Linked DNA regions of Pelodiscus sinensis. The protein of the gene in region 1 purifies or fractionates together with the protein of each later gene. This does not show direct contact. Links are inferred from orthologs where the notes say so. Each region holds a gene or a part of one and is shown on either strand. Other genes may lie near its edges.

What was found.
Region 2: the proteins of EBNA1BP2 (region 1) and NOP56 purify together in Homo sapiens (affinity purification with mass spectrometry; 4 studies listed by BioGRID and IntAct, with this or other methods). This does not show direct contact. The link is inferred for Pelodiscus sinensis from reciprocal best matches to the Homo sapiens genes EBNA1BP2 and NOP56.
Region 3: the proteins of EBNA1BP2 (region 1) and NOP2 fractionate together in Homo sapiens (co-fractionation; 3 studies listed by BioGRID and IntAct, with this or other methods). This does not show direct contact. The link is inferred for Pelodiscus sinensis from reciprocal best matches to the Homo sapiens genes EBNA1BP2 and NOP2.
Region 4: the proteins of EBNA1BP2 (region 1) and BRIX1 purify together in Homo sapiens (affinity purification with mass spectrometry; 4 studies listed by BioGRID and IntAct, counting the BioPlex papers as one, with this or other methods). This does not show direct contact. The link is inferred for Pelodiscus sinensis from reciprocal best matches to the Homo sapiens genes EBNA1BP2 and BRIX1.

What each region holds. Positions count from the first base shown.
Region 1 is NW_027465825.1:545,774-553,414, reverse strand, and holds the start of EBNA1BP2 (putative rRNA-processing protein EBP2), read right to left. Parts: upstream 3,090-7,641; 5' UTR 2,955-3,089; intron 1,668-2,954; 5' UTR 1,660-1,667; coding exon 1,591-1,659; intron 1-1,590. Other genes in the region: CFAP57 (cilia- and flagella-associated protein 57), read left to right, coding at 3,161-3,317. UniProt on the Homo sapiens protein: Required for the processing of the 27S pre-rRNA.
Region 2 is NW_027465891.1:299,420-307,346, reverse strand, and holds the start of NOP56 (nucleolar protein 56), read left to right. Parts: upstream 1-4,884; 5' UTR 4,885-4,984; coding exon 4,985-4,987; intron 4,988-5,513; coding exon 5,514-5,603; intron 5,604-6,825; coding exon 6,826-6,940; intron 6,941-7,073; coding exon 7,074-7,235; intron 7,236-7,442; coding exon 7,443-7,641; intron 7,642-7,693; exon of another isoform or gene 7,694-7,829; intron 7,830-7,896; coding exon 7,897-7,927. UniProt on the Homo sapiens protein: Involved in the early to middle stages of 60S ribosomal subunit biogenesis. Required for the biogenesis of box C/D snoRNAs such U3, U8 and U14 snoRNAs. Part of the small subunit (SSU) processome, first precursor of the small eukaryotic ribosomal subunit.
Region 3 is NC_134711.1:138,759,108-138,766,228, forward strand, and holds the start of NOP2 (28S rRNA (cytosine(4447)-C(5))-methyltransferase), read left to right. Parts: upstream 1-4,046; 5' UTR 4,047-4,157; intron 4,158-4,269; exon of another isoform or gene 4,270-4,423; intron 4,424-6,031; 5' UTR 6,032-6,038; coding exon 6,039-6,144; intron 6,145-6,301; coding exon 6,302-6,347; intron 6,348-6,512; coding exon 6,513-6,616; intron 6,617-7,121. Other genes in the region: CHD4 (chromodomain-helicase-DNA-binding protein 4), read left to right, coding at 2,399-2,416. UniProt on the Homo sapiens protein: S-adenosyl-L-methionine-dependent methyltransferase that specifically methylates the C(5) position of cytosine 4447 in 28S rRNA. Required for efficient rRNA processing and 60S ribosomal subunit biogenesis.
Region 4 is NC_134716.1:107,060,445-107,068,296, reverse strand, and holds the start of BRIX1 (ribosome biogenesis protein BRX1 homolog), read left to right. Parts: upstream 1-4,848; 5' UTR 4,849-4,876; coding exon 4,877-5,032; intron 5,033-6,987; coding exon 6,988-7,099; intron 7,100-7,852. Other genes in the region: cell cycle checkpoint protein RAD1, read right to left, coding at 1-105, 3,998-4,192. UniProt on the Homo sapiens protein: Required for biogenesis of the 60S ribosomal subunit.

The DNA.
Region 1 (7,641 bases):
TGTAAGAGAGAGAGTGCTTGGATGATGAATGAATGGTTTTGAGAGGTGCCAGCCTGAGAATGCAGCAACAAAGGGCTGAAGAAGGCGTCAGGTGCCAGTGCAACCAAAAGGTGTCAAGTGGAGAAAACCAAGTACTGGAGGTCCACCCTATGAGATTACTGACAAGCACCTGACAGCCACCCTGGACATCAGCATGATGCAGCAATTTCCATAGACTGGCATAGGAAGAAATTCCTATAAGAACTGGACTAAAAGACTATGGAGTCAGAGTCCAAGGTTCTGCTGACAGCCTACCAGGAGCTTCAGATGTGCATCTGATCAGGACTTCGCTCCCCACTACCATCACTTGTGTACAGAATACCTGGCCAGTATTCTGTCACAAGCAACTTCCAGGCTGGTAACTATAACAAATACATAGAACTTGAATGAATGGATGAATGATTGAATGAATGTTTATATATATGTATATGTATATGTATAAAGGTTAAGTAGTGATAGGAATAAGTAGTTAAAAAACGTTGTTTGCTTCTATCTTTTCTTTATTCTTTATTCTTATCTTTACAATAAATGTGGCTTTTTGCCTTATCCCTCTCATAAGATCCCGCTTGCTTTTATTGGTACAACATTTTGACCCCTCCATAGAAGTGTAGTCCATGACCACTTACCAAACTCTTGGAATGCCGCCCCCACCCTCCACTAAAAATTATTGCCCACCCCTGCAGTATGCTGTGGTGGAACATTGCTAGTCTAATAGGGGACGCTTGACATTGTAACTTATCCCTCTACCACAACTCCTTTCCTCGTATAGTGTTATGTGTTCTCATCTGCATTCTCTCTCTTTTTCCCCACACAGCATTGAGAAATACAGGAAACCCTTGCAATTTGCCGTAGCTGCATTCTTGGCACCACTGCGAATGGCGAAATTCACCAATGCTGGGAGTCACTGCTCCCAGTCACCTCCAAACTCACCATGGAACTCACTACTGTGAGTTCACTGCAGAGGCCGGGAGCCAAGGTAAGTCCCCCATGGCTGCTGGCCCCCGTGTCCCACTCAAGCCTGGAGTAAGGATATTAAGAAGCGAGTAAATCTGTTAAATGTGTAGTAAACAAAAACTTGGTTGACTACACAACTAATTGATAAGGGATAGCACTGTTACCACTCAATCCACCAACTACCCCTCCTGTGGCTCTGCACTACAAGCACTTGTACTGCAAAGTGGCAAGGGGGGGTTGATACCGGTCCTGGCACTAAAAGCCGGCATGCGGGCAGACTGGCTCAGTCCCAGCTTGCACCAGGACCCAGTATCAATCCCCACTGCGGCTCTGCACTATAAGCACTAAGAGCTGTCACAGGGATTGATACCAGGTGGGAGCTGGGACTGAACCAGCCTGCTAAACCTTAAAGGAGATGGGGAGGGGAGTGTGGCGTGTAGTAGATAATGTTAACTGATAAGCGTGTTAATCATTTAGTCAACTACACAAGTACATCCCTCGCCAGGAGACACCCACAAATATGCAGAATTGCAAATAACAATTCTGCAAATTGTGAGGGTCTTCTATATTTTTCAAGCCTGTCGGTATGAAGTTTACCTCTTTGTCGGTGATGACAGATTCTTCTGACTCAGACTCTGACGACGACTGATTTTCATAATCTGCCATCTTTTTAACTGGAAGAAAGAAAGAGATAAAGATGATATGTACTCTGTTCAATTTGAATTCTCATACTGCATTCACCTCTGTATCTACAGACCTGCATAAGGATGTATAAGTGTCTCATTTGTACCCAGCTTGGCCAAAAAGAGATGGTTGATTGCAGAGTGGATGGTGTCATATTCCCTGTGCAGGGACATGATGCTAGATTCAGGTAGGGGTACTCCAAGAATTTGGTAAGTGGTCAAGAGCCATATTCTTCCATGCTAATGGAGGAAATGTGGGGTCTGGGATGGAGGTTTGGTGCAGAAGGGACCTCGGAGTAGGGGATTGGGGTACAGCAAGGGGTGTGGTGTCTGGGATGGAGTTTGGGTGAAGGAGGAGGTTGTGACCTGGGGCAGGAGATTGGGGTGCAGAATCTGGGAGGGAGTATGACTGCAGGAGAGGATTCTGACCTGGAGAAAAGGTTTTGGAGAGGGTACAGAGTCTTGGACAGAGGGGTTGTGTGCAGAAGTAGGGTGCCAGGCACAGATCTAGCCAGGAAATGCTTATCCTAAGTGTCTCATGACCAGCATCCCAGCAGGACTCTTGGTCAGGCTCCCTGCCTGTCATACCCCACACACTGCTCAAAGTAACTGGCTGCTAGGGCCATGTTTGTTTCTCTGCCACATGCTTGTTGGGGAGCAAACCATCCACAAGCACTGCCCCAGCAACTCCCATTGGCCAGTTTCCAACCAATGGAAGCCGTGAGACTGTGCATGGGGCAGTACATAGAGGCACAAGCATGGAGCTCACGGCACAGAAGCACACATGGTCCCAGCGCGGGGCCTGTCAGGCAGGGATTAGGGATGTTCAAATATGTGTAATTAGTAACTGTGTAACTGCTGAAAATGTCAGTGGTTGCGTGCGAGGAGCTGACTTTTAGAGAGTACGTCATTTTATAGGGAACAAAGACTTTTAATGCTGCGACTGTTAACAGTAGTAAAGCCACGTGTGTAACCCCCCTTTCTGTTTGTTACTGCAGATAACCCTTCAGGTTACCATACATGACATCTAGAGACAACAGCTCGCCGCTCTCCCTGCAGCAGCGCCATCGGAATCACACGCGGCTTGGCCGCCCGCCTGTTCCCCTGGGAGCCGCGGAGGGAGCAGCGTCACGCGGACGCCTAGAAGAGCAGCCGCGGCGCCCGGGCTGCGCTAGGAGCGAGGCCGCGGCGCAGGGGCTCGGCCCTGGGGCGCGACGGCACGTGCCGGCCAAGCGCGCTGCACCGTGGGCCTTGCAGTCAGCGCGCGACCGCTCTTACCTCCGCAGCCAGCTCCTGCCCCTGCCACGCGCGTGGACCCGCCGCAGCCCGCGCCGCCTCGAAAGTTCACTTCCGGCCTCTCCAAGGCCGCCGCCGCATGCTCACTTCCGCTTCCGGGTCAGAAGCGCTGGGTCTCCATGGCAACCAGGCGCTTGGTGCTGGCCGAGTGAAGCCCCGTGTCTCTCGCCCCGCGGCGCGGAGCCACCATGTCCGTGATCGTGGCCCAGCCGCTGCACGTCTTCGGGCTCCGCTCGCGCGTGGCCAACTGCGTGTGCTACTTCGACGAGCAGATCATCATCTACCCCTCGGGGAACAGCTGCCTCAAGTACCACCTGGAGCAGCGCTGGCAGAAGTTCATCCCGGGTAAGAGTCTCCCGCCCGACCCTTCTTACCCGGGATTGCCCCGTCTGTACCGAGAGAGGGCCCCAGAGCACTGCTGGGCACTGTGCTAATGAGACTGCAGTCCCTGCTAACACCCCCAGTGGAGGCATGTACACACGTGTGTGCTTCATATGCCTAGCTGCTGCTGGGCACTGTGCTAATGAGACTGCAGTCCCTGCTAACACCCCTAGTGGAGGCGTGTACACACGTGTGTGCTTCATATGCCTAGCTGCTGCTGGGCACTGTGCTAATGAGACTGCAGTCCCTGCTAACACCCCCAGTGGAGGCGTGTACACACGTGTGTGCTTCATATGCCTAGCTGCTGCTGTGCACTGTGCTAATGAGACTGCAGTCCCTGCTAACACCCCCAGTGGAGGCGTGTACACACGTGTGTGCTTCATATGCCTAGCTGCTGCTGTGCACTGTGCTAATGAGACTGCAGTCCCTGCTAACACCCCCAGTGGAGGCATGTACACACGTGTGTGCTTCATATGCCTAGCTGCTGCTGTGCACTGTGCTAATGAGACTGCAGTCCCTGCTAACACCCCCAGTGGAGGCATGTATACATGTGTGTGCTTCATATGCCTAGCTGCTGCTGTGCACTGTGCTAATGAGACTGCAGTCCCTGCTGACACCCCCAGTGGAGGCATGTATACACGTGTGTGCTTCATATGCCTAGCTGCTGCTGTGCACTGTGCTAATGAGACTGCAGTCCCTGCTAACACCCCCAGTGGAGGCGTGTACACACGTGTGTGCTTCATATGCCTAGCTGCTGCTGTGCACTGTGCTAATGAGACTGCAGTCCCTGCTAACATCCCCAGTGGAGGCGTGTACACACGTGTGTGCTTCATATGCCTAGCTGCTGCTGTGCACTGTGCTAATGAGACTGCAGTCCCTGCTAACACCCCCAGTGGAGGCGTGTACACACGTGTGTGCTTCATATGCCTAGCTGCTGCTGTGCACTGTGCTAATGAGACTGCAGTCCCTGCTAACACCCCCAGTGGAGGCGTGTACACACGTGTGTGCTTCATATGCCTAGCTGCTGCTGTGCACTGTGCTAATGAGACTGCAGTCCCTGCTAACATCCCCAGTGGAGGCGTGTACACACGTGTGTGCTTCATATGCCTAGCTGCTGCTGTGCACTGTGCTAATGAGACTGCAGTCCCTGCTAACACCCCCAGTGGAGGCGTGTACACACGTGTGTGCTTCATATGCCTAGCTGCTGCTGTGCACTGTGCTAATGAGACTGCAGTCCCTGCTAACATCCCCAGTGGAGGCGTGTACACACGTGTGTGCTTCATATGCCTAGCTGCTGCTGTGCACTGTGCTAATGAGACTGCAGTCCCTGCTAACACCCCCAGTGGAGGCGTGTACACACGTGTGTGCTTCATATGCCTAGCTGCTGCTGTGCACTGTGCTAATGAGACTGCAGTCCCTGCTAACACCCCCAGTGGAGGCGTGTACACACGTGTGTGCTTCATATGCCCTAGCTGCTGCTGTGCACTGTGCTAATGAGACTGCAGTCCCTGCTAACACCCTCAGTGGAGGCGTGTACACACGTGTGTGCTTCATATGCCTAGCTGCTGCTGTGCACTGTGCTAATGAGACTGCAGTCCCTGCTAACACCCCCAGTGGAGGCATGTACACACGTGTGTGCTTCATATGCCTAGCTGCTGCTGTGCACTGTGCTAATGAGACTGCAGTCCCTGCTAACACCCCCAGTGGAGGCGTGTACACACGTGTGTGCTTCATATGCCTAGCTGCTGCTGTGCACTGTGCTAATGAGACTGCAGTCCCTGCTAACACCCCCAGTGGAGGCATGTACACACGTGTGTGCTTCATATGCCTAGCTGCTGCTGTGCACTGTGCTAATGAGACTGCAGTCCCTGCTAACACCCCCAGTGGAGGCGTATACACACGTGTGTGCTTCATATGCCCTAGCTGCTGCTGTGCACTGTGCTAATGAGACTGCAGTCCCTGCTAACACCCCCAGTGGAGGCATGTATACACGTGTGTGCTTCATATGCCTAGCTGCTGCTGTGCACTGTGCTAATGAGACTGCAGTCCCTGCTGACACCCCCAGTGGAGGCATGTATACACGTGTGTGCTTCATATGCCTAGCTGCTGCTGTGCACTGTGCTAATGAGACTGCAGTCCCTGCTAACACCCCCAGTGGAGGCATGTACACACGTGTGTGCTTCATATGCCTAGCTGCTGCTGTGCACTGTGCTAATGAGACTGCAGTCCCTGCTAACACCCCCAGTGGAGGCATGTACACACGTGTGTGCTTCATATGCCTAGCTGCTGCTGTGCACTGTGCTAATGAGACTGCAGTCCCTGCTAACACCCCCAGTGGAGGCATGTACACACGTGTGTGCTTCATATGCCTAGCTGCTGCTGTGCACTGTGCTAATGAGACTGCAGTCCCTGCTAACACCCCCAGTGGAGGCGTGTACACACGTGTGTGCTTCATATGCCTAGCTGCTGCTGTGCACTGTGCTAATGAGACTGCAGTCCCTGCTAACACCCCCAGTGGAGGCGTGTACACACGTGTGTGCTTCATATGCCTAGCTGCTGCTGTGCACTGTGCTAATGAGACTGCAGTCCCTGCTAACATCCCCAGTGGAGGCGTGTACACACGTGTGTGCTTCATATGCCTAGCTGCTGCTGTGCACTGTGCTAATGAGACTGCAGTCCCTGCTAACACCCCCAGTGGAGGCGTGTACACACGTGTGTGCTTCATATGCCTAGCTGCTGCTGTGCACTGTGCTAATGAGACTGCAGTCCCTGCTAACATCCCCAGTGGAGGCGTGTACACACGTGTGTGCTTCATATGCCTAGCTGCTGCTGTGCACTGTGCTAATGAGACTGCAGTCCCTGCTAACACCCCCAGTGGAGGCGTGTACACACGTGTGTGCTTCATATGCCTAGCTGCTGCTGTGCACTGTGCTAATGAGACTGCAGTCCCTGCTAACACCCCCAGTGGAGGCGTGTACACACGTGTGTGCTTCATATGCCCTACCTGCTGCTGTGCACTGTGCTAATGAGACTGCAGTCCCTGCTAACACCCTCAGTAGAGGCGTGTACACACGTGTGTGCTTCATATGCCTAGCTGCTGCTGTGCACTGTGCTAATGAGACTGCAGTCCCTGCTAACACCCCCAGTGGAGGCATGTACACACGTGTGTGCTTCATATGCCTAGCTGCTGCTGTGCACTGTGCTAATGAGACTGCAGTCCCTGCTAACACCCCCAGTGGAGGCGTGTACACACGTGTGTGCTTCATATGCCTAGCTGCTGCTGTGCACTGTGCTAATGAGACTGCAGTCCCTGCTAACACCCCCAGTGGAGGCATGTACACACGTGTGTGCTTCATATGCCTAGCTGCTGCTGTGCACTGTGCTAATGAGACTGCAGTCCCTGCTAACACCCCCAGTGGAGGCGTGTACACACGTGTGTGCTTCATATGCCCTAGCTGCTGCTGTGCACTGTGCTAATGAGACTGCAGTCCCTGCTAACACCCCCAGTGGAGGCATGTACACACGTGTGTGCTTCATATGCCTAGCTGCTGCTGTGCACTGTGCTAATGAGACTGCAGTCCCTGCTAACATCCCCAGTGGAGGCGTGTACACACGTGTGTGCTTCATATGCCTAGCTGCTGCTGTGCACTGTGCTAATGAGACTGCAGTCCCTGCTAACACCCCCAGTGGAGGCGTGTACACACGTGTGTGCTTCATATGCCTAGCTGCTGCTGTGCACTGTGCTAATGAGACTGCAGTCCCTGCTAACACCCCCAGTGGCGGCGTGTACACACGTGTGTGCTTCATATGCCTAGCTGCTGCTGTGCACTGTGCTAATGAGACTGCAGTCCCTGCTAACACCCCTAGTGGAGGCGTGTACACACGTGTGTGCTTCATATGCCTAGCTGCTGCTGTGCACTGTGCTAATGAGACTGCAGTCCCTGCTAACACCCCTAGTGGAGGCGTGTACACACGTGTGTGCTTCATATGCCTAGCTGCTGCTGTGCACTGTGCTAATGAGACTGCATTCCCTGCTAACACCCCCAGTGGAGGCATGGACACACGTGTGTGCTTCATATGCCTAGCTGCTGCTGTGCACTGTGCTAATGAGACTGCAGTCCCTGCTAACACCCCCAGTGGAGGCATGTACACACGTGTGTGCTTCATATGCCTAGCTGCTGCTGTGCACTGTGCTAATGAGACTGCAGTCCCTGCTAACACCCCCAGTGGAGGCGTGTACACACGTGTGTGCTTCATATGCCTAGCTGCTGCTGTGCACTGTGCTAAT
Region 2 (7,927 bases), on another chromosome or scaffold:
TCTTGTGCAGGGCAGCAGCAGGGTCCCGTCCTTGGATAGGGCAGGACTGGGACCGGGCCAGGCGGGGTGGATTAGGGAGTCGCAGCTGATGCTTCAGGACCCCCTGGGGGCGCGATGTGCCTGATCTAGCACCTGAAGGAGGAGAGGGTTGCAGGAAGGGCTGGGAGCGGGGCAGACGGCCCAGGAGTGAGGCAAGGGCTGAGTCCGCCCTGCAGGCGAGGTGAGGGCAGGCCCTGTCTGAGGTGCGGGCGGGCTGCCCGGGGGGAGCGCAGGGCTTAGGCTGACCCGTCTGAATCCTCCGGCATCTTCCGCCCCGCGCGGCGTCACGGACACTCGCGGCATGGCCAGGCCCCGCTCCAGCGATGCCTGTGACCCAGGGGCCCTCTCAGCGACGTCTGGGGGCTCCACGCACCTGGCCCAGGTCTCTTGCACCTCGCTCTCAGCCCAGAGAGGGAGCGCGAAGCCAGCCCCCCACAGCGCACACAGGCCTGTTTGAAGGGAAAGGGGCGTTATCGGCACTAGTCAGGTCAACCCGCTCTGTACAAAGCTAACACGGTTCTCCAGGAGGCAAGTGTCATGATTATGCGGGTCAGCCAGCAGCCTGGGGATTAAGGGGTTAACTACACCTAGCCCGGTGGAGTGGCCGATAGGAATGTACGTAGGACTTTCAAACTGGGACAAAGGAATTTGGGTTTTTTCCTCCTTTGTCTCTCTGGGCCAGTCCTCTGCAGCTACATGTCTCTCGCTCTCCAAGAAACAATTCTTCACTTTCTGTAATCAGGGTGAGGGTTAGGTAGTTTCATTAGGCTTTATTGTTTTAAGGGTTGGGTCTGGGATCTGAGATCTGGCCCTGCTTAAGAGATGTTTGGCTTTTCTTTGTAACTAAGTTCTAGCCCACGGTGTAATTCCTCCATGGCTGCGTCTACACTGGCAGGATTTTCCGAAAATGCTTTTAACGGAAAAGTTTTCTATTAAAAGCATTTTCGGAAAAGCGCGTCTCGAGTGGCAGGATGCTTTTCCGCAAAAGCACTTTTTGCGGAAAAGCGTCCATGCCAATCTAGACGTGGTTTTGTGCAAGAGAGCCCCGGTCGCCATTTTCGCGGTTGGGGCTTTTTTGCGGAAAACAGTCCTGTGCTGTCTACACTGGCCCTCTTGCACAAATGATTTCGCAAGAGGGCTTTTGCCCGAACGGGAGCAGCGTAGGATTTCCGCAAGAAGCACTGATTTCTTACATGAGATCGTCTGTGTTCTTGCGGAAATTCAAGCGGCCTGTGTAGACAGCTGGCAAGTTTTTCCACAAAATCATCCAATTTTGCGGAAAAACTTGCCAGTCTAGACACAGCCCAGGAGTATATTTTGTGACCTTTCCAGCTGATCCTTATGCTCGCAACAGGAATATTGTTATAATAATAAAAGTTTTCTCTTTTCTTTTAATTAACCTGGCAGTGGTTACTGGTGTGTCCTGATTTTTATAATAGGGGTGAGATTTCCCAAATAATCTTTCCCCTAATCTTATTAATATTTGGATGGTGGCAGCGGAAGTTTTATTCCCAAAATCTAGGTTTTTAAGATTTTGGGGGAAGTTTTATGCCAAAGCCTGGTAGATAAGGCTTTGGGGTACACCTGCGGGCCCCCACTTCTGCATTGATCATGCCAGAGTGGGGAAGGCAGCAAGCTCGGTGCGTCCTTTAGGCCTTACTGAGGCTATGCATAGGGGGCTCCTGCTGACGCCTCGAAACCTCGCCCTCCCCCACGTCCAAGTACCACTGACATCCCGTTCCCAGTTTGTATTCCCTTCCCCCCACGTGCGCTGAGCTGTGAACAACCATCGGGGAAGCCGCCTGCAGAACTTGTGCTCATGGAGGGAGGGCAGAAGAGCCAATGGCAGGATGGGCCGTCTGGCGTGGATGCCACCCTGCCCCTGGGGCCCAGCACTTCACAGGAGTGACTGTCGCTCCCAGCAGCAATGCACCTGCAGGCCAGCAGCTCCGCCAGGACCCTTTGCCTACAGCCATGGACAGGTCGCTTGTTCGCGTCATCAGCTCCATTTTGGTCCTTTGGGACGGGGAGAAGCTGTTTGGAAGTGGGGGATGGGTTAGAACCTCTCCCCTGTGTAAGGGGGGCTGGGGGGCACAGGGAGCACTGGGGTGTCTGAGGGGAGGTGGGGGATGGGTTAGAACCTCTCCCCTGTGTGAGGGGGGCTGGGGGGGCACAGGGAGCACTGGGGTGTGTGAGGGGAGGTGGGGGATGGGTTAGAACCTCTCCCCTGTGTGAGGGGGGCTGGGGGGCACAGGGAGCACTGGGGTGTCTGAGGGGAGGTGGGGGATGGGTTATAACCTCTCCCCTGTGAAAGGGGGGCTGGGGGGGCACAGGGAACACTGGGGTGTCTGAGGGGAGGTGGGGGATGGGTTATAACCTCTCCCCTGTGAAAGGGGGGCTGGGGGGGCACAGGGAACACTGGGGTATCTGAGGGGAGGTGGTGGATGGGTTATAACCTCTCCCCTGTGAAAGGGGGGCTGGGGGGGCACAGGGAGCGCTGGGGTGTCTGAGGGGAGATGGGGGGATGGGTTATAACTTCTCCCCTGTGTGAGGGGGGCTGGGGGGCACAGGGAGCACTGGGGTGTCTGAGAGGAGATGGGGGATGGGTTATAACCTCTCCCCTGTGTGAGGGGGGCTGGGGGGCACAGGGAGCGCTGGGGTGTCTGAGGGGAGATGGGGGGATGGGTTATAACCTCTGACAGGTAGTGGGGGTGCAACTTTTATAATCCCGTGTTGGCTCTGCTGTGCTGTGTTCGCTGTAATTCCCGATGACTCACCGAGATGTGTGCTGGGGCCAGACACAGGAGATCATAGCCCTTGGCCTGGAAGGGAGACAGGACAGGCGGGGCTGCACCAGACTGGGGGGTAGGGCCTGTGGGAAGGGTCAGTCTCCACTGGGCTAGGATGAAAGAGGAGGCGGAGAGCAGAAAAGGGGGTGAGGGACCCCGGGAGCCCTCCTCACCATGAGAGGAATAAGGCTGCCTGCCCTGGCTCCTGGGTTACCATCGATTCTGTGCTACACTGTCCCTGGGAACCGATTAACCTTCAGTTCTACCTGCCGCCTGCGGGTCACATCTGGCTGCAGATGGGGATGCAGGGGCGGGGACCCCCGACGCGTCATCACAGTGGTGTCGGGTGGGATGGACTGCACCCCGTGGATGGAGCATCCGGCGGTTAAGTGACTGGGGCGCAGGAGAAGGAAGGGGGCTTGCAAGAGCCAGGCGTGCGGGAGGCAGAGAGAAGCGATTCCAGAAAGCCAAGGGGCAGGCAGCTTAACCCGAGCGTGACTGCAGAGAAGGAGCGTTCCTCAGGACAGGGAGTGGCCCTCAAGGAGCCGGGTGCACTGCGGGGTTCTTCCTGGGAGGCATGGGGTACTGCCACCTTGGCCAGTGTCTGCCCCGGGGAACGGCGGGGAGATGGCCTACACCTGGCTGTGCAAGGGGAGGGGCCTGCCCTTGGGGAAACTGACCAAGGGGAAGGCCCAACTAAGTGCCCAGCTGGAAGAGAATGAACTGTCTGGGGGCCTGGATCCTGCCCCAGCTGGGAGCAGCCAGACACCCCCGGGAGTGCTACAGGGGGCTGGAGTCTGGCTGACGGACACGGTGCCCTTCAGGCCACACTGCCACCAGCGGTTCGTCCCAGCTGGGCTCTCCCTCCGCGGAGCTGCACGGCTGGAGACCAAGCTGCAGCTCAAGGAATTGGAGGGTTGTATGGAACAACGGCAGCAGGAGCTGGCCATGGCAGAGCAGAGAAGCAGAGGGGCCCAGGGCTGCAGGTCCCTTTGAGAGGTTCGTGCTGTCCCAGTGTAAGGATGTATGGGACTTGAACGGGTTTCTTGACTCTTTTGAGCGAGTCTGCGAGCTGCACCAGGGCCCCCTAGCCAACTGGCTCCAGCAGCTCACCCCTTTGCTGGATCAGAAGGCCGCAGGGGTGGAAGGGCTGCAGCCCGGGGACTACGAACGGGTCAAACAGGCCCTGCTGCACAGGTTCGGGCTGACTCCCGAGACGTACAGGAAGAAGTTCCAAGGGGTGCAGAAGCACCCTGGAGAGACCTACGCAAACCTGGACTCCTGCCTGACGCACGCACCCCAACCCCAAAGCGCTGCAGTGTGCAGGGAAACTGAGGCACACCCCCCCCTCGGAGCACTGCAGTGCACAGGGAAACTGAGGCACGCACCCCCCCTCGGAGCACTGCAATGCGCAGGGAAACTGAGGCACGCACCCCCCCCTCGGAGCACTGCAGTGTGCAGGGAAACTGAGGCACGCACCCCCACCCCAAAGCGCTGCAGTGTGCAGGGAAACTGAGGCACGCACCCCCCCCCTCGGAGCACTGCAGTGTGCAGGGAAACTGAGGCCCACAGGGAGGCACAGGACAGAACCGCCGCAGCCCGACCAAGCGAGCAAGTGGGGCGAGGGAAGAGGGGGTACCCGGGGGGGGAGGGGGGGTCTGCTCTTCAGCCGAGGCCAGGCCGGACCAGGGCCCCCCCCCCCCCACGCTCCTGGCCAATGGCCGAGCAAGCCCCGCCCCCCGTCACCTCCTAGTGCGCTGCGGCGCAGCAGGAGAACGCCCCCCCGCGCATGCGTACAGAGCAGCGGAAGCCGCCCACTGCGCCGCGGAGACTGGCGGAATCCACCGCTCTCGCCATCCCATTGGCTGGTGTGGGGAAGAGGCGGGCCTAAGGACGCTCCCGCTGCCCCATTGGCTGGTGTGGGGAAGAGGCGGGCCTAAGGACGCTCCCGCTTTCCCATTGGCTGGTGTGGGGAAGAGGCGGGCCTAAGGACGCTCCCGCTGTCCCATTGGCTGGTGTGGGGAAGAGGCGGGCCTAAGGACGCTCCCGCTGCCCCATTGGCGAGTGAGGGAAAGGGGCGGTCACTGATTGGTGGAACGGCCGGTTTCCGGTTCCTGCAGGCCTCTAGCGGCCCCGTTGCGTGGGGTGGCGGCACGATGGTGAGCGGCCTGCGGGGCCCATCCGGGCCCATCCCCCCCGCGGCAGCCGGTTCGAGCCCGAGCGTGGCGGGGCTGCGTGCTGGGGGGCCTGCGGGACCCGGGGAGGCGGGGAGCCGGGCCGATGGGGGGAGGCCCGGGGAGCGTGCGGGATTGGGGGGCGGCGGGGAAGATGGGCGGGGGGCAGGTTCGGGGGGGGGGGGGCGGGAGCGGGGAGGGGACCGGGGGGAGCGGTTGGGGGGGCGGGAGCAGGGAGGGGACGGGGGGGGGCCGGTTGGGCCGGGGGCGGTGGGGGGGGAGGGGACCGGGGGGGGCGGGAGCAGGGGGGGGCGGGGGGGCCGGGGGCGGTGCGGGAGCAGGGAGGGGACCGGGGGGGGGCGGGAGCAGGGGGGGGCCGGGGGCGGTGCGGGAGCAGGGAGGGGACCGGGGGGGGCGGGAGCAGGGGGGGGGGCGGGAGCAGGGAGGGGAGCGGGGGGGGGCCGGGGGCGGTGGGGGGGTGTCCTACGCGCGCTCACGGCCCCGCTTGCAGGTGCTGCTGCACGTGCTGTTCGAGCACGCGGCCGGCTACGCGCTGTTCGTCGTGCGGGAGGTGGAGGAGATCAGCCTGCTGCTGCCCCAGGTGCGCCCTGCCGGGGGGGGGGGGGGGGTCCTGGTTTATTCTCGCCCCCGAGGGCTGTTCCCCACCGCGCTGACCTTGGGCCCGGAGCGGCTGCCTCCCTCCCTTACTCCCAATCGGGCGGTGGCTGCCCACGTGCTGGGGTGGCTCCGCAGGAGGCTCCCTGATCTGACCCTGCAGGGTTGGGGGTTCCTGCCTAGATGGATCCTTGCACCAGCGCAGCCCTACCTGTCCAGTTGTACCCGCCAGTACCCAGGACCAGCTGTGTATAGCGTGGGGCTTGCTAGGCATGGGACTGCTGCTTGGCGGTAGGCCCCTGACTGGGCTACATGTGTACGAGGGATGTGACTAGTTAACCGGTTCACTGGTACCCAAAGGGGTGTGAGCAGGCAGCAACAGCCCCAGCGTTGTGGGAGTAGGGAGCAGCAGCAGCCCCTGTGTGGCCAGGGGACCAAGCTGGAGCGGTCTCCTGGGATCTTGTGCTTGATTGGTTAAACATAGTGCTTACGGGATTAACTGATTAAGGGGGATTTTACATCCCCAGTGCGGCCGGGGGATGTGAGAGCATACCCTAACCAGCGAGCCTGGGCTGATCAGTTAATCTTCACGCCTTAAGGGCACCCCCCTTCCCCCACATGGCCACTTCTGCTACAGAGGCAGCAGCACAGAGGGGCACACGCTAGGAAGCTGCCTGCCCCGCCCCTGCTTCCTTGGGCAGTGAAGATGGCTCCGCTGGAGCCCCTGCTTGTGTGCAGCTGGATTAAGTCGGCTCCCTGCAGGCGCTGAGCCCCTCCCCCTGGTGTGTAAACGTGTAGCCGTGTTTCCGGGTTTCTTCAGAACCCCACATCTTAACGGCCCTAGTGTGAACCCAGCCAGCAGGCCTGGCTCTCTGTGGCCAGGCAGGCGGGTCGTGCTCTTGGCTCCCACCTTGTGCAGTGATGAACAGCCCAAATCTGTCAATCCACTGAAAGCGGTGATGCTGCGCTGTGTCTGAGCACAGGTGCGCAAGTGGGGGGCACTTGCAGCTGCGCTGAAGGGGGCGCTGCTGTCCGTGTTCCCGCCGGTGGAGACGGCATCCCTGCCATGCGTGTTGGGGGCTGCGGCCGTGCAGCCGGGGCTTTAGCTGCATTGTGCTCCATCAGAACCTGTGCGCGCCTGGGCCCCTGCGGGTGTGGTACCCCAGCCTGCCCTGTGTTACTCACCCGCTGCCCTGTGCCCGCCCCAGGTGGAGGAGAGCATCCTGAACATTGGCAAGTTCCACAGCATTGTCAGACTGGTGGCCTTCTCCCCGTTCCGATCCGCCCAGAGTGCCTTGGAGAACATCAACGCGGTCTCAGAAGGTGAGGCTGAGCTGGTGGCTTGCTCCCCGTCAGCCTGCGACGGGTGGCTGGGCCAGGAGCGGAGCTTGCTGCCCTCTTGCTCCCATCCATGCCCTGTGGCTCGCCATCCAATAACTCCTTCTCCCTGGGGCAGGGATCCTCCATGAGGACCTCAAGCTGCTCCTGGAGACCAACCTGCCGGCCAAGAAGAAGAAAGTGTTGCTGGGAGTCAGCGATGCCAAAATCGGGGCTGCCATCCAAGAGGAGCTGGGTTACCAGTGCCAGGCTGGCGGGGTCGTAGCAGAGATCACACGAGGTGAGGGCGTGCGCGAACGAGGCCCAGACGGCTATGTTCTGGCATGGGGATCCTAGCAGGCCCCCTAGGGATCATGTCTGGTCCAGTCCCCTGGTGCCCTGCCTGTGTGGGAGCTCAGGTGCTCACTCGGGGCTGCCCTCCTTGGCTTGTCACAGGGTGGGCGGTGTGGCTGCGAGGGGTTCCGTACTCACCAGACACTCTGTGCAGGGATCCGCCTGCACTTTCACACTCTGGTGAAGGGCCTCACTGCCCAGTCGGCCTCCAAGGCACAGCTGGGCCTGGGGCACAGCTACTCACGAGCCAAAGTGAAATTCAACGTCAACCGGGTGGACAACATGATCATCCAGTCCATCAGCCTGCTGGACCAGCTGGACAAGGACATCAACACCTTCTCCATGCGCGTCAGGTGAGGGCTGCTGCAGGGGTGCTTGCCCGGGGCTTAGCTGGAACGTGCACTGTCCCTCCCCATGCTTACCGCAGGCAGCGCGACTTCCAGCGCTGACTGCACAGAAAGGGGAGGAAGAGCATCTGCCCTGCGTACACCCCAGCCAGGGAGCCTGTGACCTGGGCTGTCTTGTTAGCAGGGAGACACGGCCGTGGGGCGGGAGGAGCTGGCGGGTCCATGCTTCCCTCCTTGACTGCTCCCCTCTGGCTCCCGCAGAGAGTGGTACGGGTATCACTTCCCGGAGCTG
Region 3 (7,121 bases), on another chromosome or scaffold:
GCACAACACAATTCATTTTGCTCATGTGAGGAAACTTAGGCTATGTCTACACTGGCGGTTTCTTGTGCAAGAACATCTTGCGCAAGAGTTCTTGTGCAAGAACACGTCCACACTGCCATGTGCAAGCTGTGCTTTTGCACAAGAGCATCTATGGCAATGTGAACGCTCTCTTGCCCGAGAAAGTGCCGATGGCCATTTTAGCCACAGGGCTTTCTTGCACAAGAAATTCATGTTGCCTGTCTACACTGGCCTCTTGAGCAAGAACAGTTGCACAAAAGGTCTTATTCCTGAGTGGGAGCATCATAGTTCTTGTGCCAGAAGCCCTGATTTCATACATGAGAATGTCAGCGTACTTGCGCAAGAACACATGGCCAGTGTAGACAGGAAGCATGTTTTTGTGCAAGAGTGGCCACTTTGGCGCAACATCGCACCAGTGTGTAGACAGCCAAGGGGAGGGGGGCAGGGAATCAGTGCTGGCTCAGCATGTCTGCATGGTTTGGGGGAAGGTGCAGGGAAATTGAGCTCAGCTGGGTTGCAGAGTGGGGAGGTCCAGGAAGTTGGGCTGGGCTGCAGGGTGTGTGTGTGGCACGCTCAGAGCTCAGTTTGGCTGCAGGAGGATGGAGGTGCTGGGAACTGGGGCTAGACTCAAGTGGAGGGAGGGGCAGGGAATTGGTGCTTGGCTCAGCAGTTTTGCAGGGTTTGGGGGAGGTGCAGGGAAACAGGGCTCAGCAGTCCTGTGGGGGGAGGCATGCAGGGAACCAGTGCAGGGCTCAGCTGGGTTGAGGTGGATGGGGGAGGGCATACGGAACAGATGGGCAGCTCAGCTGGGCTGTGGGGGCTGCAGGGAACTGGTGCTGTGCTCCCTTGGATTGTGGGGGATGGTTTTGGGAGAGGTGCAGGGAACCAGCAGGGGTAGGCAGCTCAGTTGGGTTGCAGGGGATAGAGGTGCAAAGAAGCTTAGTGGGGAGGAGGGAGGGGCGGGAACCAGGAGCCCTGAAATGACCTCCCTGGTCCAAAAATCCCTCATCTGGGACCAGTCAGGTCCAGAGGGTGCCGGTTCAGAGAGATCCAATTCCTTCCCAAGTCCCCTCCTTGCACCCTCCCTCATAGCCAGACACCCTACCCCCAGTCTGCTCCTGCTTCCTCCCCCTGGTCAGACACCCTACATCCAGCCTGCTTCTGCACCCTACCTCCCACCCAGACCTTGCCCCCTTCTGCCCCCCCACCTCCCTCTCAGATCTTGCACCCCATCCCTATCCTGCTCCTTGGCAGCCCTGCCATCCACCCTAGCACCACCCTGTCCCTGGCCCCAACCCCCTGCCTCACACCCCAGGACTCAGCACCTCCCTGGCCCCAGCACCCTGCCATCCACGCTAGCACCCAGTAGCACCCTGCCAGTCACCCTAGTGCCCAGCAGAACCATGTCCCTGACTCCCGCCACCTGCCTGCCCCAGCACCCCGTCACCTGAGCCAGCATCCTTCCACCCAGCAGCACCCTTTCCCCAGCCCCAGCACCCACTTTCACTCTGTCCCCTGCTCCCACCAGCACATTTGGGACCACATTAGTGAGGCTTGGGGGTCTTTGGAGGGTTGTTGGGTTTTTAAAAATGAAGGCTGGCCAACAAACCCCCAATTGGGGCCAAATCCCCATCTCACTGCAGCATCATAACACTCCTGCACCACCTGACCCCAAATCTGAGCCTATCATACACTGGAACCCCCGGGCCTGAGCCTCTTACATCCCCAAACTCCTGCAGCCCCACATCCTTAGTCTTCTGCCACCACACTCCTGCACCATCACACATGGCAAATCTGTGTCCTGAGTCCCTCACATATCCAGCCCAAACCCCAGCACCCCCACATCCATAAGCCCATGGCTCACTCAGCACCCCAACCTTCCACCTGAACCCAACACTCCTGAGCCTGGAGCCCCCTCTCCGAGCCAACATCCCCTTCTCCTGCATCCAAATTCCCTCCCAGAGCTTGTACTTCTCACCCCTTCCCACACCCAAATCCCTCATTCCCACCCCAGACCTCTTGTCTCAACCTAGTGAGTGTGTAAGGGCTGGGGATGGCAAGTGATGGAGAGGAGGGGAACAAAGCAGATGAGGCCTCAAGGAACGGGGGTGGAGGTCTTGAGGAAGGAAATGTGATTTGCATGCATTTGGTGGGTCCCTTTTGCCACCCCTTTTTTTTTTTTTTCTTGACTAACCTAGGGGTTCCTTGAAATTCTGAAAAGGGTTCCTTGGCCAAATACAATTGGGAAACACTGCCCTAGTTGATAGAACTTTGCTTCACTCTAGTCTGCTCATTAGTAGGAGGGCATGTACCAGCTGGGTGGGTGCTTTTGGTAAAGGCTCCTAATGCATGTTTTTTCACCCCCCCTCTCCCCCCCCAGGTGGCCCAGCAGCAATGAGACCTTGGCTTGGTACTGTTGACTTCTCAACCAAGCTGAAATTATCCCTCTGCCTGATGTTCCTGAGAGGGTGCTGTTCCCCTTGGCGGACGTTGCTGCACAGGCCTCCCTGTGGGAGAGGAAACTCTGTGGCGCCAGCCTGCACCAGCTAGGAGCGTGCCAGGGCAAGAGGGGACATGACGGACTCTGTACATAGTGACTGGAGGCCACAGAGCCACGTCCTGTTACACAGAATCCTGGCTGCACTGCTCGCTGCTTCAGCCTGGAGTTCCATGTTTTGTTTTAATCTTATTTTGAGTTTGTTTACTGAGATGAGTGTACAGATGAGACCAAGCAAAAGCCAGGACAGAGACACAGCTACCTCCATCAAGATCGTTTTTAATACAAAAACTGACTGGACTTGTCCACTAATAAAACAGCTGAAAAGACCGGAAAAAATCTTGATAAAACTGAAAAATAAAGGTTTCCTTGTATTTTATTCTGCTGTCTGCAGTTAGCTGTGCCAAGTAACAGGGAGAGGAAATACTAGAGGATAAGTAAGCATGTCTGCTGGAAAGGCAGAAATGGTAGCACTATGGTAAGGCCTATCCTTTCGCATAAGCTTTGGCTTTGTGGAGCACTGAAGAGAAGTTATCCAATCCTTGCATGGGTGATGAGCTGCTACCTCCTCTCTAGTGGAGGTCTGTTCAACCTGAGCACTAGTTCAGGTCAATAAGCTGCCTGATTTTTTTTTTTTTGACTTATCAGCTGGTGGTAAGAAGCTATTCATACAGCTCAGCATTGGTAATGTCTAAACTGCAGTTAAAAACCTGTTGCTCTCCTAGGTTAGCAGATTCAGGCTAAGCCTGTTTCATTGCACTGTGGAGGGTTTGGCTGCTCTAGGAGGTAGGGAGGGAAGAGAGTGCCAAAGCTTAGCTTCCACACCACTGCAGCCTCAGTCAGGTGTCTCAGTGCAGTGTAGAACTGTCCAAAATGCCAGCAAGAAAATTGGCACAGAAAGCCTTGCACCTACATCCCTCTCTGGTTATTTTCATCCTAGTGTGTAAGAAACCGGGTGTAAGTCACATGCTGTTGTCAGTATAGGCCTAGCCAGCATCACCTTGGCTCTGTTTCTAACGTGGCTACATTTTTAGGTTAACTCCTTATCTTTCCAATGTGGGAACGGAAGGGGCTGTGTGCTGTGAGCTAGCTAAGGGCTACTTTGTGTGCACTCAGAGCAGCTGCGCGGCCAAACCGTGTGTGTGGCAGACACGCCTGCTACTCCTCCATTACACTTAAGGGGAGGAGCAGGCGCGAGTATCCACAGGCCGCTGTCATTGACTTTAGCGCTGCAGCCTGGGGAAAGCTGAGGGCTGCCTTTAAGCGAGCTTGTGCCATGATCGAACAGCGGGGGGGGGGGGCCCTGCCCGCCGGCCTGGTCTGTATCGCCCTGGGGCAGCTGTAAGCGCCGCTGCTGCGCTGCGTGGGGCTAAGCACAGCGCCTCCCCGCCGCTGCAGGGCCCGGGGCGCGCGCTAGTGCCCGGCCGAGCCCCTCTGGAACGGCTCGCGCTCGCCTCGGCCCCAAGCTGGACGGGCGGGGGGCCGCCGCCAGGGGCAGCGCGCGGGGCGGTGCGAAGAGCGGGAGGCAGGAGGCAGGAGGGGCGGTGCCTGGCCAATCGCAGCGCGGGGGGGGCTGAGCCTGCGCACTGCGAGGCGGAGCTGTCCCCGGAAGGAGCTGTCGGCGCGCACGTGGGGCCGGAAGGTAGGTGGCGGGCCGCGGCCTGGAGCCGGGCGGGTGAAGGCGGCAGCGGCGGCAGGAAGGGCGCGAGGCGCGGGCTGCGGGGGGGCGCTGCTAAGGGGGTCCCGGGGGGGCGAGCGGCGGTCTCAGAAACGCGCCGGGGGGGGGGGGGTAGGTCTCTGCCCCCTTCAGCGGGCTCGTTTGCCGCCTCCCTCCAGTCTCCCCGCACTGAAAAGCGGCTTCCCGGCCAAGTCCGAGCCAGGGTGCCCGCGTGTGGAGGGTGTTAAATGGTGAGAACTGGCGAGGCGAATAGCCCGTCCCTTTTGCACCGACCATTTGATTAGTCGATAGGGCGCCTTGGCCTTTGAAGTGTGGGGCTGTTGCTACCCGCAGAGGCAAAAGCCCCATGGGGAACACGGGGTCAACTGGGAACTTCCCCTCTTTGAAAATGCCACCTGCAGATTCGGGACATCCCAGCTGGCCGTGGGCTACATGCAGCGTTTCAAAGCAGCAGCGCTGTGTGGACCCCTGGGTCTGGCCCCAGGCTACAAGTGGTACTGCTGCTTTGAAGTACCCTCTTCTTCCCCTGCCCCTTCCTGCCTCTATCTGATAGAAGCAGCAAGGGGTGAGATGGGGGACGTGACTAGTCAACTATCCAAAATAAGCATTTGCTTATTGGATAGTCAACTAGTCCTTCACATCCCTATTTGTCATTGTATCATCTAGCGTTAAAATGGGAATGTAACATTGATACTTGTATGTCTGTGTACAGTCCATAAAGAAGTATAAATAAATAACTGTGGATTCTTAATTTATACTGACTTCACTAGTGATTTTATGTAGCCTGTTGTAAAACTAGGCAAATACCTAGATGAATTGAAGTATCCCCCAGGGAGAAACATAGCCCTGGTTGACAACCATTGTGTTAGACACAGAGGCAGGCAGGCTGAAGAATTGCTGCCCTAAAGCAGTAGTGGGGAACCCTTTGGGTTAGAGACCACTGAACCACAGAGACATCTGTCAGAGGCTGCACAAAAGTGAGAAACAAGGGGAAAAAACCACCTCATTGACATGGCCCCCAACTGAAAAGCAGAAAGACACTCTCCACATTCTGGGGCTAGTAGATTTTGAGGACTTCCCAGGCTCTGGGGTGGGGCCAAAAATGGGTTCAATGTGTGGGAAGCAGGCTTGGGATATGCTGTTTAGACAGGAGGGATGGTGTAGGAGTGGACTGGGGATTGATGCGACTGGGAAGGTGGTAGGGTGTAAGAATGGGCTGGGTGAGAAAGTGAGGTGCAGGAGCAGAGAGGAGTATGAGGTCTGGGCAGAAGATGGGGTGGGGTTCTGGGAAGGAGGTAGGGTGCAAGAGCGAAATAGGGTTGGAAGGGCTTGGCGATGGGTTCGCTTACTTACTGCAGCTCCCTGGGGATGCACATAGGGATGCGCCCGCTCCCTGCTGTTCCTATTGGCCACAGTTACGGCCAATCAGCCTGGTGGGGAAGAAGCCTTCAGTCAGTGCCTTGCTGCGCTGCCACTTCCTCCTTCCCCTCCCCTGCCCATCAGATAGAGTCTGTGGTTCAAATCCAGCCCTGGCTTGTCTGACTGCAACCCGTGAGGCTAAGCGCTCCCTCCACACAGGAGAAGCCGATGCTGGCACTCCAGCCCCATGGGGAGACCACTGGGCAGCCACAGGGCTGGAGCACAGATGCCAGCTCCCCAGTGCTGGCAGGGACCTTTGAGCCTCAGGAGCTGAATCAAGGCAAGCTGGGGGCCAGATCTAGCTCCCAGGCCTAACCCTACCCCTGCCTAAAGGAATCACCCCCTAGTTTGCAATGTGTGTGGAAGGAAGGTCTGTTCTGTTTGTTTTCCTCATTCTTCTTCCATTACTTACCCCACAGGGTGAACATGGGGCGCAAACTTGATGTACTGAGGAAGGAGAAACGTGGCCCGGGGCGCAAAGCCCGCAAACAGAAGGGAGCAGAGGTAGAATTAGCCAAATTTCTTCCCCCAAGTAAGTGTGTTTGTTTCTTTACCATTTTCTGCACTTCTCTCTCTACCCCCCACCTACATATACAATCACACCTGGATGGGCTCCTAAATAGGGACCTCATCCTGTTCTTTGTCCTTCTGGTACCAGTTCCTTGATTTTGTGTCATCTTTGTTTCTAGCTACTGATAGCAGTGGAAAAAAATTATCCAGCCATGCACGAAAAAGGTGAGTGTACAAGTACACCAGTGAATTCTGCTCTAAAGAGGATAAAATTCAGGACACTAGTTGCAATCTGGCAGGTCCAAGTCAGAGGGAGTTGTTAGGCTTTCTGGTGTAAAAGGGTTTATCAGTTCATTTATTCTTGTGTTCGTTTTTTCCATGTGTTTTCAGGGCTGCAAAGAGGCGAATGGGATCAGGAAAAGCCCAAGCAAGGAGGAATCTGCTTCAGCTAAAAAAGGCAACAGATGAGGGGGAGATGGATGGCACCAGCCTGGGTGTGTGTTTAACAAGTTGACTGCTCATTATTTCCCTAGTGGAAGAGTTCTGGTTGGTCTACGCTTTTTGCTCTAATTCTTCTCGGAGTGTTTTAATACCATTCTCCTCACTTTCATCCCCAGCTGTGAGCAGAGTAGGAGTCTGGCATAGCTTGTGTCCTATCAAAGAATGGACCTCTCTTTCTGCTTCCCTCACCTGACATCCAGCGTACTGTGGGCATCCTAGCTAGGGCTTCCAACGCATGCGTTGCACAGGACTAAGAAGGGACTTGGCTCAAATTAAATTTGTAAAACCTAAATGTTTAAAATTGCGTCTCTTCAGTAATCCTGGCCACTGGGACAGTATCAGACTCTTTTCTGCTTTCTATCCTGATTCTCCATAGTATACAGCTTCCAATGCAGCGGTCGCCATCCTGGACCTCAGGATGCACAATAACCTGGGCTCGGGATACTTAAAAGATCACTGAAGGATCTGGAAATTTTGGAGGGCCTAGTTCAAAAGTGA
Region 4 (7,852 bases), on another chromosome or scaffold:
CAAAGAATTTGTACCAAAGATGGTCAAGCAGTCTAAAAGAACAGCCAAATTGATTCGAAACATCACCGACTCTTCCTGTATAATAAATTCTTGAAAAATCCCTGCCTGTAAAATAAAATAAAAGTATATGTATGGAAGAGGTACAACAACATTTGTTCCCCTTTATGTAGTAACAGTGACTTAATCATCTCTATAAATCCATAGTATTCACCATCAAGAGTGCAACAAGATGTAAACTAAGTGCATGTAGTCAGGATCTTTTAAGAATTAGTACATAGCTTAGACAAAGAAAAACCAGATAAGTATGACATTTGGATGACAGTAGCCTTTTACAATTTTTTAATAAGCTATAAATGTTAAAGCAGAAAGCTCTCTCCATCAATCAGCAGATGTTCAGTGCACTACTATACAACTTAAAAAACACAACTTGTCATTTCCAGTATGCCTTGGATGATAAGTGCTTCCAAAAACAGAAGACAGCACAATTTTTGCCTTGAGGAGCTCTTAATCTAACAGTCAAGTAAACAAGCAGCAGCAGAAATAAGTGAACTCATTAAACAAAATATGACTTCTTAAAAATCAAAAAAATAAAACCAAGCAAGTAGGTAAAAATTTAAGACTACAGAAAGAGCTAATTTTCTTTTTGCTCCCTTCAATTCCCTTTGTGGTTCTTTTTTTAATTATCCCTACACCTTATTTGGAGGGATAGATTTAATTACACGAAACGTTATTAGAGATATCTGAAAAGGGTAAGTGTCAATAGTAATCATATTAAACACATGTTGAGAAAAAATAATTTAAAGTATTGTTTAGGGGTCAGGAGAGATGCAACGAGATGTATGTCAAGAGGAGTGAACTCAGTACAGTAGGGCTCACTACAGTAATTGCTTGATAACTTAAGACAACAGTGAACTCCTTAAAAGATGGATGATATCTGAATGCAGAAAATTTTGAGATCCTGAAATGGAAGATGATGCATAAATGCAAATAATGGGATGGTATTAGGGAAAGGGAAATAAGGCTGAATATTAGTAAAAAGTTTTCAAAAAGTGATATTTAGTCAACTGTAGAACTGTCTTCCATTAGGGAAGTGATTGGATCATTAATATGATCCATCTATATTCATAGCTTTGTCTGATGTGAAGAATATATCCATAATGAGCAATCCAGCACTGGCCTTTGAGGCTGCACATAATGACCTACACAGGGGTGGGCAATAATTTTTGATGGGGTCCACTCCAAGAATATAGAAAATGGTCAAGGGTAGGACTTTTCCATTATATTAATGGAGGAGGTGTGGGATCTGGGATGGAGGTTGTTCTTCACACAGTGCACAGTCAACCTGTGGAACTCCTTGCCAGAGGAGGCTGGGAAGGTTAGGACTATAACAGAGTTTTAAAAAAGAGCTAGCTAAATTCATGGAGGTTAGGTCCATAAAAGGATACTAGCTAGGGGGTAAGGAATGGTGACCCTGGCCTCTGTTTGTCAAAGGCTGGAGAAGGATGACAGGAGACTAACTGCTTGATCATTGTCTTCGGTCCACCCCTTCTGGGGTACCTGGTACTGGCCATTGTCGGAAGACAGGATACTGGGCTAGATGGACCTTTGGTCTGAACCAGTATGGCCATTCTTATGAGGCTGGATGCAGAAGAGAGCTTGAAGTGATTGGGGTGCATGAGGGGTTGCGAGCTTTGGGAGGGAGTTTATGTGAAGGTGGCAGTTGTGACCTGAGGTACAAGAGGGGGTGCAAGGGTTTGGATTGTGACCCATGGCAGGAGGGGGTTGCGACATGGGGCAGGGGACTGGGGTACAGGAGTTTGGGTTGTGACCTAGAGTGGTACAGGAGGGAGGGCAGAGGGTTTGTGTTAAGTAGCATATGGGTGCAGGGTCATTTGTATGTGTGTACAGCTAAGAGCTGGAGAGGAGAGGTACTTTGCATGCTGCTGTGCTTCAAACAGGCAGGTCCCATTGGCCAGAAACCGACCATTGGAATTGTGGTAGGGGCAGGGGCAGCACATGGAACCTCTTCCCCTCCCCAGACAAATGGCCCGACAAGTCACTTTTCTGAGCAACGTACGGAAGAGGGGCAGGCAGGGAGCCTGTGTGAGGCTCTTTGCTGTGTCCATGGGCTGCATCCAGTGGTTTGTTAAGCTGCATCCAGCCTGCAGGCCTTATTTTGCTCTTCCCTGACCTACAAGGTCTTTTTCCACCTCTAACTAACATCCAGCAGTATTGCATGGCACTCGCTGGGTCAGATTCTCCACCTTATTCCTACCATTTTGATACTTCCTCTCCAGCACCTAAAATAAACTGCATGCCATTCCTTATTCTCTCCAACAGTCCTTCTGTCAAATACTTTGTTTCCATTCCTAGATAATTGTAGAGACAGAAATGTAGCCGTGTTAGTCTGGTGTAGCTGGGACAAAAAACAGGACTATGTAGCATTTTAAAGACTAACAAGATGGTTTATTAGGTGATGAGCTTTCGTGGGCCAGAGCCACTTCCTCAGATCAAATAGTGGAAGAAAATTGTCACAACCATATATACCAAAGGATACAATTTTAAAAAATGCACACATGTGAAAAGGACAAATCAAATTTCAGATGTGTTCATTTTTTTAATTGTATGCTTTGGTATAGATGGTTGTGACAATATTCTTCCACTACAGTATTTGATCTAAGGAAGTGGGTCTGGCCCACCTAATAAACCATCTTGTTAGTCTTTAAAGTGCTACATAGTCCTGTTTTTTGTTCTAGATAATTCTAGTCTCTCTCATACTTTCCCTGGCTTATTTAATGCTCTCTCATCTCACAGTGGCTTCATACTATGTGCTAATACAAGACTCAATGCAAAAATAATGGTGATCCTCTCACATGCTATCTATCTATATTTTTTAAAGTGCATGTGCGTGTCAGTCCATTTGTTCACAAACTCCTCCTAAATGGTAAGAGCTAGGGCCACCAAATTTGGTGTGTAGTAAGGATGTTAAAAACTGTGTATTTGTGTAAGCATGTGACTGCTGAAATTTTTAGTGGTTATATGTTAACACATGGAGGGTGGGTAGGCAGGAGGGAGCTGGTGCTCACGGGGAGCCGGCTGTCTGCAAGCATCAGCTCCCGCCTACCCCCTCCTCCTGCTGCTGCCTTTCATGGTGGGCAAACAGCTCCATGGGCTAGAATTAACGGATAAACCTGGGCAAATTCAGGGTTTGGTTGTGCCAAGAAAATGAGATGTGCCTAGAATTTGATAGTTTTCCATTACATGGAAAGGGAGGGGAGCAGAGAGGAGAGATCCTCACACTCACTACTGGGGGGTAGTGAGCCCACAGGAGAGCTATCCTGCAGAGTGATCAATGAGGGCAGCCACACTAGCAAGAGTGACCAGCTGAGGATGGGACTCTACCACCTTAGCTGCCAATTGTAAGTGGCCTCCCTGTCTAAAACCCCTCCACCTGCCGTACCATCGGGGCTGGCCAACCCAACCCCAGCTGCCCCATAGGACCCCCAGCAGCCTGGGAGAGACCTTCATGCACCCATCACCCTGCCCCCACTTCCCAAACCCTGGTCTGGGCCTTCCCATGTCCCTGGCCCAGGCCCCCTGGCAAGCACTGAGCTGCCCCTCCCCTCCAACTCCAGCCCACACAGGGTCATCATTCCCCACCACACCCCCACCCACATCAGATGTAGGCAATCAATGCTGAGTAAGTCTGCTAGTAACAATAATAAAATAGCAAAACATTTCCATCTCTGATACATTAAGAATTTAACTCCAGCATTTCTGAATACTATCAACATCTACACTATTGCAAGTCTAGAACTGAGATATCTAATGCCTTGCATCCACTGGTCTCATCTTTTTGTTTTTTGTTTGACTGGATTATGTCCATTGGGAAAGCCACTACCAAGTGCAAGAAAAAGGGAAAAAAACTGTAATTTTAAACACGTGAAAGACTGATGACAGATATATTAATGGTCTGATGATGTGCTGGGCTCCTTACCTGAATAAAGGCATTTGCCTGCACACATTTTGCATTTTCCACTGTTACCTTGATTCCATTTCTAGTTGCAAAACACGTTGCATAGTCTTTAAAATGAATCGCTTTTAGGATATTCGAGAGGTTTCTGACATTGTCAAGACTGGCGACTAAAACATACTGATCATCGGCAGTTTCCAGCTGAGTAGAGAGGGGCATTATTCGTTTGCATTCACCACTCCAATCTTCCCTGTGACCGTATATGTGAGGCCTGCAGGGGCAGTGTCAAAGAGAACCTAAAACAGAGGTCACATACTTCTGTTACTCTAACCCGCTGGTGGTCAAGGACAGGCGGGAACGGCTGCCCGGCTGGCAGCTGCGATGACGCCCCGGCAGCAATGCGGTGGTGAAAGTGACCAGACGGTACAAGTGTAAACGTGTCGCTATTGCTGCTGCCCGCGAGAGGGGCTGGAGTTCAGTGCAATGAAAGCGGCGGAGGAACAGCGGCCCCAGGCCGCGCCGGTCGCTGGCTACCACGCGCCCCGTCCACTGGCGCTGCAGCCCGCCGAGCCAAGGCCCGTGTCCCGGGCGCTGCAGGGCAGAGCGCCCCACGCGGCTCCCAGCCGGCGGCGCCCCAGCTTGGGCGACACGGACGGTCCCGTTGCACGAGGCGCTCGCAGGCCAACGGGCCCGCGCTGGGGAGCCGGCGGCCCCGGGCCGAGCGGGGATGGGGAGAAGCCGCACCCGGATCCTACCTATTCCCTACGAGGCGGCGCTCGCCGCCGTGCCTTACGGCTGTCGTAACACGAAGGCCGCCCAGAGCCGGGCAGCGCGGCGGCGCTGACCATAGAGCGAGGGGCGGAAGAGCAGAGCAGCTTCCGGGTGACGGACGCGTCACGTGTAATGAAGATGGCGGCGGCCAAGAGGAAGCGTGGAGGGGCTGCGGCGCGGCCCAAGAAGCGAGCCAGGGGGGCTCCCGATGGCAGCGGGCCGTGGGCCAAGCGGGGCCCGCAGGGAGCGGAGAGGGAGGAGCACAGCATCCCGGCTCCTGTCTGCAAGGTAGAGAGAGCGGCTGGTCCCGCTTCTGCCCGAGGCCTGTGCACCCCTTTCCCCGAGAGTATTGGCACAGTCCGGCCTGTCTCCATGCGGCGCCTGGGCTGAGAGGCTGGGGAGCCATCGCTTGTGTTCTCGTTCTTGGGGGTGGGAACAAGGTCACCTTAGCTCGCCGGTCCCGCTGCGGGAAGGGTCTGGTCTGGCTTTGTCTGGCCTGTTGGGATGTAGCGGGGCGGAGGAGGCCGCTTAAGGGAAGCATCTGCCTCAGTCCTTTTTTTAGCGATATTGCCTTATTTAAAAAAACACTTGTCTTCCCTGTAAGTCATCCATAGTCTCAGAGGGCCGCCCCCTGCTTAGCGTGGAAGGGAGCAGAGTAAGGATGTTAAGTAGCATGTAATTGACTAATCAAATAGTTGATGCACTTTGGATGCGCTTTTGCACTATTCGATTAGTACTGCATGAAGCCTTTCAAAGGGGCTGCACTTCATGGAGCCCGGGGTTATCTGGGGAATCCCCAGCTGATCCTGGTCTTTGTGCTGCACTTCCCCTTTGAAAGGCTGCACAAGGCATTTCAAAGGGGCAGTGCTCCGTACGGCATTGCTGATTTGAATTACCCCATCTTCTCCCCCCCCCCCCCCCCCACACACACACCTTGCTGCCTCTCTGATAGAGGCAGCAAGGGAGGGAAACGACTAGTCAGCTATCCTGTTGACTATCTGATAAGCATTTAACTAGTTGACTAGTCCTTAACATCCCTAGAGCAGAGCACTGATCTCCACAGAGATAGGTGTTGTCTTGATCTGTGTAGTCACCCATACTCTTCATATGAGTACAGCCCTGTGTGGATATAAACATGTGGATCCACATCTGACCAACATTGACTAGAAACAATGTGTATCTGATCTGCATCGGTCAACAGCAGCAAACCATCTCTCAGCGCTTGCTCTGAAGAGGCGCATCTGGGTGTATGTGTGGCCTATGGCTTAATAAAATGGGCACACCAACCATATTATTGTAAACATCAATCTGAATTTTATAACCGTCGTCATTAGAACAAATATTTGGAGCGGCGTTGGAATGCTCCTGCTGAGGAGTGTGGCTGGGGCAAGAGTGCTTATCCTGTTCTGCCCTGTCAGGTGCTCCTTACAGGGAGTGGGACAAGCACCTGTACCCCAGCCAAGTTTCTTGTCAAGAGCGCCCCAACCCCACTCTCCAATAAGCTCTGAGGGCACCCTTCTCCCCATCAGTGCTGTTACTCCTCACTTTCACAAGGAGTATGGAAAGTCAATAAGTGTGTTTCACCCATGGACTTCCTGCTGTGGGAATGGCACCAAAGTTCAGCTTAATGTACGTCAACTCCAGCTATGTTGTTTATGTAGCTGGGATTGCGTACCTTAAACCAACTTTCTGTACTATAGACTTGACCTTAATTCTTCACTCATTCTTCACCTTAAAATTAGATAACATAAACACTTCTGTACTACCACTGTATGCAGTTTAACTTTCATGTACTTAATGTCATTTTGCTATATTTAGATATGTTTTCTATCAGTCTAGATTCCTGTCCCATCCCTAACCCTCATTGTTATTGTTTAAATGAGAAAACACAGATTTCATGGTATTTACCCTTTCTGTCTGCAAGCAGGTACATCCTGTTACATGAAGTTAATCACACCCTAAGAGGGGAAATTTTATGTGACCATCCTCAAATATTGACACTGAAAACGTTGAATTGATTAGGATTTTTTTGTGTAGGAATTAAGTAGTTAAGTGTGGAAGATCAAAATTGATCACGTTAACATTTATATATGCAGCCTGTTGGAAAGACAGCACTTTATTTTAATTGAAAACTTTTGCACAAATACAGTTTTAAAAAAATCACAAATATCTTGATTAAATATTAACTTTGATTTTAAAAAGTTGAAGATTAAAATTTTTTTTCACCTTTGTGTTTCTTTTAGGGTAAATGGAAAAACAAAGAGCGGGTGCTTATTTTCTCTTCTAGAGGAATAAATTTCAGAACAAGACATCTAATGCAAGACTTGAGAACATTGATGCCCCACTCTAAAGCAGGTAGGGTCGATAGGTACTGCTTTTATCTAACTCTGTCACTGTTTTTGGCTAGAGTGTTTTAGTAAACTACTGTCTGTTATTGACATTATTCCATTATGCTACACAGAATATCTGTTGGACTCTAAGATTTAGGTTGTCAAGTGATTAAAAAATTAATCATGATCAATCATGATGTTAATAATAGAATATCATTTAAATAGTTTGGATTTTTTTACATTTTTAAATATATTTATTTCTGTAATAACACAGAATACAACGTGTATAGTGCTCATTTTATATTTTTGATTAAAAATATTTTCAATTCACCTAATACGACTACTGCAGTACATTCTCTTTATCATGAAAGTTGAACTTACAAGTATAGAATTACATGCAAAAACCCCTGCATTCAAAAATAAAACAATAAAGTCTGCTCAATCCCAATTCTTTTCCAGCCACTTGCTAAGAGAAACAAGTTTGTTTACATTTATATGAGAGTTTGCTGCCTGCTTATTTACAATTTCACCTAAATGTAAGAATAAACTGTAACGTGGCATTGTTGTAGCTGGCATTGTTAGATACTAATGTGCCAGATACGCTAGAGATTCATGTCTCTTTATGCTTCGACTATCATTCCAGAAGACATGCATGCATGCTGATGATTCTGTTTGATAACTTTCCAAGAAGTGCAAAGTGATGCATCTTCATTTTCATCATCTCATTTAGATGCAGGAGGTTGATTTTCTATTTTGGTGACTTGTGTTCTGTAGTTTC